2 linked regions of the Drosophila melanogaster genome follow. The protein of the gene in region 1 interacts with the protein of each later gene in a pairwise test. Each region holds a gene or a part of one and is shown on either strand. Other genes may lie near its edges.

Region 1 (6,612 bases):
ACGACTTATAAATGTATCTTATGATCAAGAGATCAGTTTCCAAAAAATCATTACCATTTTTTTTTGCTTCATTGAATGCGTGTTTCCTTTACCAATCTTTATGCAATTGGGTTTCAAACCAAGCCATATACCATTTGAGCAATAGAGTGCATTATCTTTGGCACGTTTGAGTTTGTAGTTGACGCGGCAGGAATAATAGGTCACAAGAAAGACATGTTCCCCATTTCGGCGAAGTTTGACGGATGCCTTAGCATTTTTAATCCTCGGAGGAGTCCAGCAGGTATCGTCGTATTGAAAAGATAAATTGTTATCTATTGCGGGGGTGATTTCGGGAATATCATTTAACGAAGCTGTAAAATTAATGCATTAAAAATCAATGTAATTCAAATAAATAAATAAATAATTGTATATAATAGAAATTTTTCTTACTTATGGTTATGTTATAATGGATTCACAACATACCTGTGGAAAATGCGATACACATAAGCGCGTACAAAACAATCACTGATGTCGACATTCTGTTTTGCACCATTTCAATAATTATATAAACATGTTCATGATTGGATTACTTAAGAAAACATCAGCCGAAAGTAAACGTTTTGTTTAATCAAGTGTCTCCCATTGAGGCGCTTGTCACCAACTTGCATTAAAATGTCTGCCTAAAAGTACACACTTAATTAATTAAAAAATAAACGCAATAATATTTACAATATTTAGAATATTGTGAGTAACAGATGTTAGTAATTGTATTTAATTTTAGTTGCCATCTATGAACATGTATTTTTACTTTTTTTCCGTTACCATGTTCAACACTTTTAATGTATGTTTGATGTAAACACTGTTAAGATAATTATTTACAAAATATATAGGTTTTTTTTTAATGCCGTAACCCTTTTTTTTAATATTCATTTATTAACGTATCGGCAAACAACGAATCGCTCCAAAGGAAAACTGACGACAAACTGAATTATCAGGTATTTGGCCGGCAAGGCAAAAATACTATTTCGGTACCCATTATCAGTAGGGTATAAGCATTTTCAGAAGATTATTAAACCTAAGTGTTAAATTATGTTATTCAACTATATAAGCTGACATTACATCAATTAAACTCGCAATCGAAATCAAATGCGCCGCTGCAACTGCTCGCCATACTGTAAATGGATTTTAATTAAACGAAATTAAATACAATAGAAATCTAGCGTAGGTGTGTTACTCTTAGACTTATTTGGTTGGCCGAGCAAACATGTTATTCTCTATATATATTTTATATATATATATATATACATATATATATATGCCACCCGATCCCCACTACTTGGATAGGAAACCCAATTTTTCCTTTGTCCGAATTTTTCATTGATGAATTGCATTTTAAGTGCCAAATCGATTTTGCTCAAAAGAACTGAAAACATTTAGAGCTTACACCTAATTGAAAATTTTATTGGGTCGCAGATTGGCGTGACTTTGTTCGCTCATTTAAAAATGTTTTCTCGTGGTGGTGTTTGCTCAGAAATAAAACAAATTTTTAAATGTTTTTTTTCAAGTGTTAGTGGTATGCAGTTTTTACTTGTTATTACATATATTTTTGGCAAAAATCGGTTACTCAGAGCTTTGATAAGACTATCTTTTGGTTTGACTGTTCATTAGATAAAGACCCAAACAAATACATTAAATGTAGGTAAACATTTCGTACCGTTCCAAAATGTTCTCTTTAGATTTGGATTTTAGACCGAATGTTCATATATGTATTTGATTTCCTGTTCAAATGTAATTAGAGGGTATCTCTCACCCGTAGCCTTATGATAAGGAAAAGCAATATGTCAGAGGCAAGTTTTTCTGTAGTCAATCAATTTTTGTTGTATAATGATAGCATATGCTTAAAAACCGTGCCTTCTTTTCTTTTTTTAAACACATGTTTTTGGGGAACTGCTGCTATTCATGTCTTCTAGATCAAGAATATTTATATTTAGAAGATAATTCTTTAAAATATACATAACTATATATAATATCCCATGCTTTTGTAGAAATATTGTGTGCGCGTGATTCTCGTTACTTTCTATGGTCAATTTAAACTAGATTAATTTTCCCAGCTCTATTTTCTGGCTATTTCCAGGTGGAGCACATGTGTAACTTCTACGTGTAGGTTTTGGCTCAAAGCTGTTGTTGTTTATTGGCCCATTTACATTTGAAGTTAACCTTAGTTGGCAAATTACGGAAATCGCTCGAGGGCGTAGTGTTTACCCATATGAAAGATACTCTGGGTAAGAATGCTCGGAAGATACTGACTATATTCGAGCGGATACTTGTTTGTTTGGTCAGACGATGGCTTTTTCTCTCTTTGTACGACTTGAGTCAATTTATGTTGACATCTTCTTGGCCATTGTTTTAAAGCTTCGAGTCAAGTTGAACACATCCGCTGGCGGTTGGGAAAAGAAAAGGAATGAAACCACTGCCAAATAAGATAGTCTGAATTCATTATTAATAAATTAAACTTTTATTTTATTTAACTAAACAAACGTTGCTTTGTTAATAACAAAAAGAGTCCAATTCTAGTCTTAGAAATATGTGCATTACTTTTGTCTTAATTTTAGCTCCAACAGAAAGTAACTAAGAACAAAACACGGAGTTACGATGCTATAGACTGTGATTAGTTCTTGATGCTTAGATACGAAGGACCCACTTGGCGGACGTACACACTCCGCTCGTTGGTCAAATACGGCGGACACTTGACGGTAAGTATGCCATCGGACGACAGTTCCGATCGCACATCGTTGGGATAGTATCCTCGGGGCAGGACGAACCGCTTGACGATGTGGCGACCCACGAAGGTGTCACCATCACGTCGCTTCTCGTGCTTGGCCTCCACGACCACAGTGTCGCCTGAGGTCTTCACGCTAATCTCATAGGGCTTGAACAGGTGCACATCCACATTGGCCTCGAAACCATCCTTTCCGACAATTACCCGACTTAGATCGGGTGCGGATCCAACGCGAGATAGTGATCGCTTCCAGTAGGGCAAGTCCCAGTCGTTCAAATCCCAATCGCGCCACAGCCGACGACGGTAATCCCAGTAATCCCAATCCGTATTGTTTGTAGCCGGGACAAGAGCCATTTTGTGGTAGTTATTATTCCTTAGGACAGGACCAACAGCAACGCTAGTTTGTATTTACTTTCCACTTATCGCGCTTTCTGATAGACGTCCACTCGCGTTTTCTGCTCTGAGCAAATTAAACTTGGAAACGATAGTAGTCGACGCTTATATAGCCATAAGCTTCGCCCCGTGGGATCAGCTCGGCTCAACACAGATTCTAGTCAATAGCCAATGACAGTTGTGACGTAGTAGGCACACTGTTCAAAAAAAAAAGCGGCATCCCAGTTAGGAATTCAAAAAATACGGCAAGCTGCTGCATCTTAAATATAGTTTTTACATCTGAAACGTTGTGTGATTATGAAATTTAAGTTATAAAATTTTTAATAAATGCTCTAAATATAATTCATCGATTTTTTTACCGCAGTGCACCAGTTGCAGTTACAGTGGCGTTAAAACTGGGCGATGTTTTCGATTGTTTATCTTTGCATTGACGCTTGTATATAAGGAAATGGGGCTGTGGGTCGAAAAAATGCCTTTGCATGTTATTTCCTTGAGGCGCTTCGAGATCATATGCTGGGTGGGTTGATTTGCAGACTAGTTTCCGTAGAGGCTATAAATTTTCAGCGGTTCTCCAAAGGTACTGCTAACCTGCTAATTATTCAGTAGATTTGAAATAAAAATCTTTATATGCTGAAAATTTTTCGTTTTTTATCCAACAAATACATATTTTGCTTTCCAATGATGCAGATGTTTGCGTGTCCTTATTTGTTTATGTTTTTCTCTTTCATTTACCAAATCATTCTCCCATATCGGCAACGCATTAAAAACGGTGGAAACATTCCAAAAAATGTTGGCAGAATTCGTATTTTGAAATTAATTACTCTTTGCTTCCGTTTGCAAATTAAAAAACAAAATCAAAGCAAGCCCAAATAAAAACCAACACATTTCTTTGACGGATGTGATTCTTTTCACTTTTTGACCAAATTCGGCTTTAAATTTTGTACACGATAGAAATTAACAGAGATACGCGGATTACAGATACACAATCTATAGATACAGCAACATAAAAGGGGGATTGAGTTTGTCATGACAAAAGGGCAATTTGTAAAAAAAATTTTGACGATTTTTTTGACGATTAGTCGATGGATGCGACATCTACGGAACATTTATGGGCCTGACCTGCCTGCCCCTCTTTATAAAGCCCGTGCCCGTAACGTAACACAATCATCGGATTGGGATTGGCCCACCCCATATGTCGCTGTAATTTGTTGTTCCAGCCGTCGGTGTTGTTATTGCTATTCTGGCATTAGATTTTGTGTGTGTTTTATAATAATTATAACAAGCTTCGCAGTTTCGCAATTTAGATGGCATTTAAGCATGTATTTGTACATTAAGTCATTTGCCATCGGACTAGTTCAATAGGTTTGTAATGCAGCACATCGTAAGACAGTCGAAGGCACACAAATAGATACGTTGTGTCAAGTTCGAAATAATATTATTATTAATATTATAATAAGTAAGTAAAAAGTATTTATTATCGTTGTTCTTATAAATTATATTACCCAATTTCTTATTTGTTATAAATATAGTCACATATGCTAAATAAGTATTTAACATCTTTAAAATCCGTACGAACAAAATTTAATAGTTAAATTTTAATATTTAAATATTTATATATTTATACTTATTTTTTGTATTATCAGTGTCTAGAGTGTCAAGTCTAGAGAAAATTCCCGATTGAAAACCAATTGAAGTGCCGCAGCTGGCGGAACAACAATACATTAGACCAAAACAAAGCAATTTACTAATTTGCTTGACTTTATGGCAAAATCGAATGAAAATCAGAATCGAATCCCTGTGGGTGTGGGTTGTGCACAACTTTCTTTGGCATCGATTGTGTGTGGGGCATTATCTAAGAGATGACTTTCTATAATCGTAAACATCATTAGCAAAACACACCCACCGCGACCTTCACCATTCTTAATTCCCACAGGGAGGTCATTCCCCCGATTTTCATGATTATGGTTATATATGTTTAAATCGTTTTCAGCAATAGCACGGGAATGAACTTAGTCATTTAACATGGTGCCAATGGACGTGGATAGGAAACAGATGACTGCATATACACAAAAGAGAGATGAATTCTTAAATATTTTAAATATTACTTATTACTTATTCAGCCTACAAGTATGCTACAAAAGTTTAAGACGGTCATGGCGAACGTGGCGTATGAGTAATAGCTGTAGTTTAAAATGGCAAGCAAATTAAGTCTCGGAAATCAATAAGGTACATCGCTCACGTGGCAAATGAAGTCGCCGCGCGATGAAGTCGAGCGTAACTATAAATGGCCCCCGAGACACTAAACATTCAGCCGCAAAAGGGCAACAAACAGGTGCAGGAGCAGGTGCATTCGACCTGGCCAACAGGCCACTGCAATGCGACGCCTGCCAAGGAGAAGACGGGGCAATCTGTGGCAGGGGAAAAACACAAAAGTATGGGCAAAACGAAAGCAAAAGTTCAAGTCGGAGAAAAAGACAGGACGACGAGGAGCCAGCAGGACTTAAAACCGTAATTGGCCAAGCGAAGTGAACACTGCAGGTCGTAGGTTGTAGGTCGCAAGTTCCGAAGAAAAAGTCCCCAAAAAGCAGCCACAACAAAAGTTGCCACAACAGAGCCAAAAAACTGGCAAGAGTTATCCCTGAGAAAGTGTAAGGAATGGAGCAGAAAAGCCGATCCTCATATACCCTAAAATATACCCCAAATAATAGCCGAAAAAAACTGATTTAATGACATTTGCACAACTGAAAATATTTATAAATAGAAAACCTACTAAAATCAGATTACACATTAAATCAACTGAATATTCAATTAAGTTCAGTCAGTTGGAAAATGTATTTTCATATTTAAACGAGATAAATATATATCGCTTTTCATTTAACCAACGAAGTGGAAATCAATAAATGTTATATGAAAATAATACGTTTAATTAAAAGGACTTGCAATGAGAAACCGCTAAAACTTTAGCTACTTAATGGCTGCACAATTTATTATAAAGCTGCAGAGAATATACTCACATTGATTGTGAGATAGTTATCATACCCAAAAGGCAACCTTCAACAAAATCCAGAACTGCAACTGCATTTCGAAACTCGCCCATTATGCCGCAAGTCACGCCCGTCGAAAGGCGAAGGCTCGCCCTTTTCGTCCTGCCGCTGCACTTGTTTGCATACGAATGAGGAACTTATTTATAGCGGTGCAGGCAGGACTCTAAAGGATTGCACTGTGAACGAAGAAGGCGGACGTAGTAGCCAGAAGGCGTACAAATAACGCTTGGCCCGGTCTATTATTCTATTTTTGTTTTGTGCTATTGAACCCAATGGACGTGATGGCCAAACAACGCCAAACACCGAAATGGAAAGTGCTGGATTGACATATATACACACAATATAACTTTTACAGGGTATACACGACTCATCCCACCGCGCTCACTGCAGTTAATTTGAAATTCCACGACGAATTTC
Region 2 (7,474 bases), on another chromosome or scaffold:
CGGCCAATATCACCACGCCGCTGACCTCCACGGCCAGCCTGCCCTCAGTGGGCCCGGGCAATGGGCTGACCAAGTACGCCCAGCTGCTGGCCGTCATTGAGGAGATGGGCCGCGATATCCGGCCCACGTACACGGGCTCGCGCAGCTCCACGGAGCGTCTCAAGCGGGGCATTGTCCATGCCCGCATCCTGGTGCGCGAATGCCTCATGGAAACGGAGCGTGCGGCGCGCCAATGAGAGGAGGAGTCGCTGGCGCCGCAGCTGGCGACCCCGGAGTGAAATGGACCAGGAGGCGAGGATCGGCCTCATCTAGGTTAATTACCCCCAAACAAAAAAAACAAAAAAAAACACGGACATATAGCAAACGCAAAGATCCATTTTGTCCCAATTAAGCATTAAAGTGTAGCAATTTGTACTAACTTGTAAGCCCACATCAACTTAATGGCCCTCGGGCCGCCGGACCATAGTTAAAGAATGTTTAGACTAGCTCAGGTTACAATCGGTTAAATCGACAATGCTACAAGTATAGCTGCAGCCCAAGTTATTGGACTTGTGTATCTCTACCGTATACCCATTAATTTGTATCCGTTAATGCAAGACCCAGTTGCTCCTGTGTCTGCGTTAGTGAATGCAATCAATTACGAGTATCTAATGGCAACCGCCGTCGAGGATTTGCAGATACAAATGCAGATGCAGATACGGATGTATCTGGACAGGATTTGTGCGAGTTTGTCACTGCCGGATAAAGCTGCTCCTCGTTATTTTAGAGAACTATACAAATGCAGATATGTAGATGTAGTTAAGCAGAGATATATGTATACATATATACTTGTTATGCAAGCGAACAGTGTGCATGTCCAAGTGAATGGTGAATTAGTGGCAATTGACACGAGAATATTTATATATGTATACACATTATTTACTATATGTATGAGAGCAAATACGACTAAGTTCAAGCATGTATACCAAACCGAAACCGAAATCGAAATCGAAATAAATGCGCTATTTTGGTTTTTGTAAACGCAGAACTGGCAAACTTGATTCTAATTATGTATGAACCCCTCATAACCATCCATCCAACTGCATCTCTCATTTAAGGTATGTATGTTTCTATAGTTATATATTCAGTTTTCATAGTTCATTTCACATTTGCAGTTCGACTTGCGAGGGAGGCGTTGTCAGCAGTTGAACTTGGGACAGCAGCCGGGATAGGGTTTGCTCAGATCCTCTTCCATTTTGCAGGGCTTCAAGGAGGCGATGGCCGGGCATCTGGATGGCCACAAGTGGCAAGGTGGGTGAGTCAAGGAGTCATCAATCCATGTAGAAGCTACTCACCCCAAGGCAGTCACCTGTTTGGGTGCCTGGCAGGTGTACTGCAGGCAGCGACCTTCCGGCGTGTACTTCTCTCCGGTCTTGAACTGATGCCCACCGATCTCGCAATCCACTACGAATGAACAAGATGAACATGCGGGATTGAATGGTTTGTGGCGACGATGCACTGCATCCACTTACCGGCGAACACCAGCAGCGAGTGGGCGCCCAGAACGAGCAGGCAGAGTACGAACGTGACCGATTTCATATTATGTAGCTAACTGATCAACGGATCGCTCGGCTGGGCGACTATATAGTTCCACTTGTTTCGGGGTGCGCCAGCGATTAGACTGAAAGGTCAAGATCCCTGTGCTCCCGTGCGATTGCGTCTCAGGGGTCCTCGGGTTTATCAAATAGGTGGAAAATTCTCGTTACATACAGATTCGTTCCGGAGGCTGGCGAAACAGCTGCAGTTCCAGTGATAACATCATTAGTTTCTTAAACTATATATGTTTTTATTTAACTAAAGATTATACTTGTTACTAGTACTTTGGCTAACTTTGCCACAAGATCAATGGATTATAGTTTAAATAGAAATAGTAATTCCGAACAGATCGATGCTTTTGGATCTAGTATCTTGTATCTAGTATTCGTCGGAGCACTCGAGTTGGGGACAGCACTCGGGGAACTTGAAATCATAGTCGTTGGGTGAGAGGTGGCAGCCAGGTCGCGGCCATGGCTGTTTGTCGCAGCTGGAAGGGATTGGGCGAAATGGGATATAGTGAGGGCATGCGATCAAATCTCGAAACTTACTGGCGTATCAACAGCAGATAGTCATCGGTGCACTCCAAGCGAATGCAGTAGCCCTGCTGACCGGAGGGCAGAACGTAGCCATTGAGTGGAACGGCCAGGTCCAACTCCTCGTAGAGGCAGTGCTCCGCCAGGCTAGGGTGCTGCGTGTGACCACGATACTGGGTGCTGAACCCATTGCCGTCCACCGATGCGGCCAGCAGACAGGCCACAAAAGCTAGGGACATCCAAGCTGCTCCGGACATGGTTGCTCTCGTTGTGGAATAGCATTGGGTCGTCACCGGAACTCATCTCTTATAGGCGGCGGGCCATCCATCTTATCAGCTGGCTATCAACGCTCTCGTGATTCCGATTTCGGCTGCGTTTGCCTTGCTCTCGTCATCTGGAAGTGGAGGAAGTGGCGCACCACGTTATCGCACTTGCTGACACTCGAGGATGTTGGCCTAGACCAGGAAAGTATGCACCAAGCAAATGCTATCAGGTATTCGCCATTCCACTCATGGGATAGTTGCAAAAGTAATTCAGTTTTTCAATCAACAAATATTGGTTAAGCCATTTGGGAGCTGGGTAACTAATTATTAGTTGGGTAAACCATTTCAGGAAATTCTAGTAGGATTAATAGAAGAGGAACCCAAAATGTAGTCAACTTTTTAGCAAAAGTTAATAACTATACCTATAGCTTATATGTAATTAAGAAGTAATACGACAATCTTACCAATTTGCATACCAAGTAATGTATCTATCATAATTAGTTAGTCTATCTGTATTGTATCTATCTATCACTTCATACTGTATATATCTATCTATCAATACTATATCTATCAATCTATCTATCTATACTGTAACTATATATCTATCATATATCTATCATATATCTATACTGTATCTATCCATCTACAATGTATCTATCTATCTATCTATATATACTGTAACTAACTATCTATCCTGTATCTACCTTAAGTAGATGGTTAATTTGCGATTTGTTATAGAAGATCTATGCTTAGAAGATCTTAACTTACGAGTTCTGGTGGGAATCGTGGACTTGACTCCATTCCATTCAATCCCAATCGAATCACGGCGGAATTAACTAATGCAAATACAGTCCAGACGAAATCACAATGCACTTGCACTCGTGAGTGCCATTAAATTTGCATAAATGTATCTAGGTACATATTACGTACGCGGGAATCAAGTGTTGTGTGCTCAGCGTACACTGCGATAAATGAATGGGGTACATAGTACATACATATCTCTATACATCTGAATTGAAGATTTGACATAGGATTGAGGATTAAGCAGGCATTTTAAGTATATAACTACTTTGTTTTATTCTATAGAATATAATTGACAGTCCGCTTTCTCCAAGTGTAGCTGGCCCAAAATTCGGTGGCACAAAAGAGTTATTTGCGTGCCGTGATTACCGCTCAACCTTGCCACAGTTTCTCGAACCGTGTCACTTGGCTGTCGGGGATTCCGCCTGCCAACTTCACTCCTCCGCTGCTGGCCGATCCCCGCCAGAACTCACTCTCGCTTTCAGGGCTGGCTTAATTAATTTAAATTCTTAATTTAAACTAGAGCTGGCGGGCGGCGCAAAGCGAACGCCTTAAGTCGGTCGGCAAACAAAAGCCACAGATGCTATCGCTATCTGGTTGTGCACACACACACATGTGTGCCACATACTCGTGGTAGTACGGCACATGGTTCATTATTAATTTTATATAAAAGCAACAACAATTAATTGTAATTGACTCAGTCGCACGGGCAGCGCTCAACAGCCAAGTCGGATTTGGATTTCGAGCAATCGTGGTGTTGCCTCTTAGCTTATCCCCCCGAAAGAAAAAAACCACCATCACCTCCTCCTCCTCCTCCAGCTCCTCCGCTCATTCGGCGACTATGCGAGCCGGAGTCGCCTGTCTCCTGGTGCTCCTGGGCATCTGTGGAGCCGCTCGGGCGGATCTTACCTACCGCGGAAATGCAGTGCATCCAGGTCATTAAGAAATGGATACTGTATTCATACTATACTATCTAGATAGTAGTTAGATACTGTAGTGAAAACTAGATACTAGAAAATGATATCATATGAACAAATTCATATGAATCAAAGGAATATATTATAGATTCCAGATATACAGATGCTATAGTATCTATAATGACTACCAGATACTATAGTATCTATAATGTCTCTTAGATACTGTAGTAATATCATATCAATCAAAGGGATATAGTACTATAGTTCCAACCAGATAATGATCGTTTATGTGCTTTATGTTTCCAGACTATCCTGGCCAGTGCTACTACGAGGAGCTCAACCAGGCCATACCCAAGAAACAGTCCTACAAGCCCATCAATCGCGAGGGCTACTGCCAGTCCATCTACTGCAGACCAGACTATGTCCTCGAAATTAGCTAGTAAGTTAAAAACACTTATTATGAATATATATTTTTAATGCATATTTACTTACGTTTACTTCAGTTGCGGTCGCCATAATTTGGTGCCCACGGAGAAGTGCAGGATCGCCTCGGATATGCGACGCACCTTTCCGGAATGCTGTCCCAAGCTGGTGTGCCAGGAGTCCGAGAGCAACTACATCTAGCTTAGACTCCTGGCTGCTAAGTATTATTATAGAAAAACATACTTCCTAGTATTGTACATTTTTATTTTGGCACAATGTTTGTTAAATATTACTTGTAAGTTCATTGCGTATTTATGTTGATAGGTTTATTGTTCTATGTTTTTGATATTCTTGCCGGAAATATATATGTATCTATTCTAACAAAAACCCAAAGAATGAAATTCATTGTATATATTTTCAGCCAAATGATAAGTTCATTGTAATTCAAGTAGGTTCTCCACAAAATTTGTTGCTTTAAAATCAGCCTAGAAACGCACAAAAACACTGTGGAAAAGTAAAGTCAATATAATAAATATAAAATAGAAATAATTTATAATAAATTTAATGATCTTGCTTTAAACTAAACTTTTGTATGTTCTTGCATTTTATGCGGATATTTTTGGGATTTGTGCTCAAAATTCAAAACGGAATGTTAGTAAACGGCAATGATTAATTTTTAATTTAATTTTGTTCCCTTTGAGACGATGATCCATTTGGACACCTTTGTACGATCTGGAAGAGCACACTCTCTGTGGAAACTACGCATCTGATCAGTCCGCCTCCCTGGCAATTAAGCAATTAGCAAGTGCTCGCGGAATCCCACTCAATCAAGCAGCTGAAAATGCAAATCACCACTGACTACTGACTGGCTGATTCGCAAACGAGCCGCGCTCCAAGTGGCTCTTTTGGGCAACCTATAAATAGGCAACGGGCTGGGCCAGCTCTCGGTTCAGTCTCGTCACCGCGCTCCAAAGATGCACAACCGTTGCGGATCCATTTGGCTGCTGGCGGCCGTCCTGCTGCTGCTGGCGCTCCTGCTTCCGCAGGCACTGCTGCCTACCGTCGATGCGGGTAAGCTGGCCATGGGATCTCCTACTACTGTTCCATATGTCATATGTAATCATATGTATCTTGTACGTAGCCAGCGAACCCGTGTGCTCCTACCGCAACTCGGAGGATGAGACCATCTTTCTCAAGTATCTGCCGCTGCTGAGACGCGGACAGGACTACGTGGACTTCGGCAAGGATGGCAAGTGCCTCAAGCGGGCCATCTGCACGGACACCTTCAAGACCATCGTGGAGGAGTAAGTGCATCATGACAGCGATCTTAATTAGCAACTTAGGTTGCATGAAGAAAACAAAATATTTCCTAGCTGAACTTTGCCCCGATCTCCACATGATTCTAACCAAGCCATCTACAATATCTTTTTTTCAGCTGTGGACAGCAGAAGGTCACCTGCGGCAACAAGGATCGCTTCACCGGAGTTTTCCCTGCCTGCTGCCTCAAGTGTCCCTAAATCCGAGGAGTTTCATTAAGAACAGTGTATTCAAATGTAGAAATGTAAACAGTAGACGATTAGCTAACGGAATATATGTGCTACCCATTCAATTACAGGGTATGCGATAACTATAATCTAGCATCATTTCCTTATCATCTTTCAAATGCAAATCCAGCTCCGTTCGTTTAGTTTTTTTTTCTTCGACGTTTATTTTTTATTTCTTTAGTTCTTAGATTAATAACATGTGGATGCGAATTCGGCGGCCTGTCTATAGGTTATTTTCTCATAGTTTCCAGTGTTTTCCTTTCTTTTCTTTTTTCAATAGTATTAATTTTCCTTTGGGGGGACTCAGTTCATTGGCCAGCTATTGCGCTCTCGCTCGCTCCGAGCATGCCGTCTCGCTCGTTTCTAACATTCACACTTTTGTTGAAGTAACTTGGTTTTTTCTTCCTTTTTTTTTTTGGGTGGAAAAGAACATTGGTGTTGCAAGTTTTAAAAAAATACGTTCTGCGACTATTTATTTCTCTTGGTTTTCGATTAAGTTGCTGTTGCCTGCTGCTTTAGCACTTTAATGACAATACTACTTACTTACTCCTTTTTTTCCAAGAGCCAACGTATAAGGAAACAAACAAAAAAAAAATCAATTATAACCGACTTATTAATGAATTGGGGATCTAAAATTTAAATACAATCGACGTATTAAGAAGGGCTTGTTTGTAGATTTTCCCAACGATCGATCGAAGAACATAGGCTGGCAAATCCAATAGTGTACGGATAGTACACTACTGCTAATGCTACTTCCTCTAATCCGTAATCCTTCATTCCCTCTTGCCACGCCTTTTCATACGGTGCCTGTGATTCAGTGTTCTATGTTCGGTGTGGTGTTGTGTGTTGTGGTTTTGTGTTTGAGTGTGTGTGTGTTTGTGTTTTCGCGCAAGTCGGATTTCGCTCTAAGTTAACTACAAATAGGCTTATAGCTCCTCGTCCTCGTCGGGCAGTGCGGTCGCCTGGGCCTCCTGCAAGTCACGCTCGATCTGCGCCTGCCAATCCTTATCCATCTTAACCTCGGGCGGCAGCAGGGCTGGCATGGCGACAAACTCCAGGTTGGGATCACCAACCAGCTTGCGCGCCAGCCAAAGGAATGGTTTCTCGAAGTTGTAGTTCGATTTGGCAGAAATATCGTAATACTGTTTGACAAAAAAGAAGGCACAAGCACAATAACGTTAACAAAATTTCAAATAAAAGTTCAGCTTTTCTTTATTTACCTGCAAGTTCTTCTTTCGGTGGAAGACGATGCTCTTCGCTTTCACCTTGCGATCCTTGATATCGACTTTGTTGCCACAGAGGACGATTGGTATGTTCTCGCAGACGCGGACTAGATCGCGATGCCAGTTGGGCACGTTCTTGTACGTGACACGCGAGGTAACATCGAACATGATGACGGCACACTGGCCCTGAATGTA

The links.
Region 2: the proteins of CG7409 (region 1) and CG15199 interact in a two-hybrid assay, tested with the Drosophila melanogaster proteins (one large-scale study listed by BioGRID).

What each region holds. Positions count from the first base shown.
Region 1 is NT_037436.4:7,751,030-7,757,641, reverse strand, and holds CG7409 (uncharacterized protein), read right to left. Parts: upstream 3,234-6,612; 5' UTR 3,113-3,233; coding exon 2,648-3,112; 3' UTR 2,474-2,647; downstream 1-2,473. Other genes in the region: CG32373 (uncharacterized protein), read right to left, coding at 55-350, 463-532.
Region 2 is NC_004354.4:11,138,667-11,146,140, forward strand, and holds CG15199 (uncharacterized protein), read right to left. Parts: upstream 3,170-7,474; 5' UTR 3,140-3,169; intron 2,573-3,139; exon of another isoform or gene 2,503-2,572; 5' UTR 2,366-2,502; coding exon 2,124-2,365; exon of another isoform or gene 2,063-2,123; coding exon 1,954-2,062; 3' UTR 1,808-1,953; downstream 1-1,807. Other genes in the region: CDK2AP1 (CDK2-associated protein 1), read left to right, coding at 1-236; ssp7 (short spindle 7), read right to left, coding at 1,178-1,268, 1,335-1,443, 1,512-1,578; CG15202 (uncharacterized protein), read left to right, coding at 4,014-4,107, 4,396-4,528, 4,593-4,713; CG15201 (uncharacterized protein), read left to right, coding at 5,487-5,583, 5,654-5,816, 5,948-6,029; Ran, read right to left, coding at 6,983-7,198, 7,277-7,474.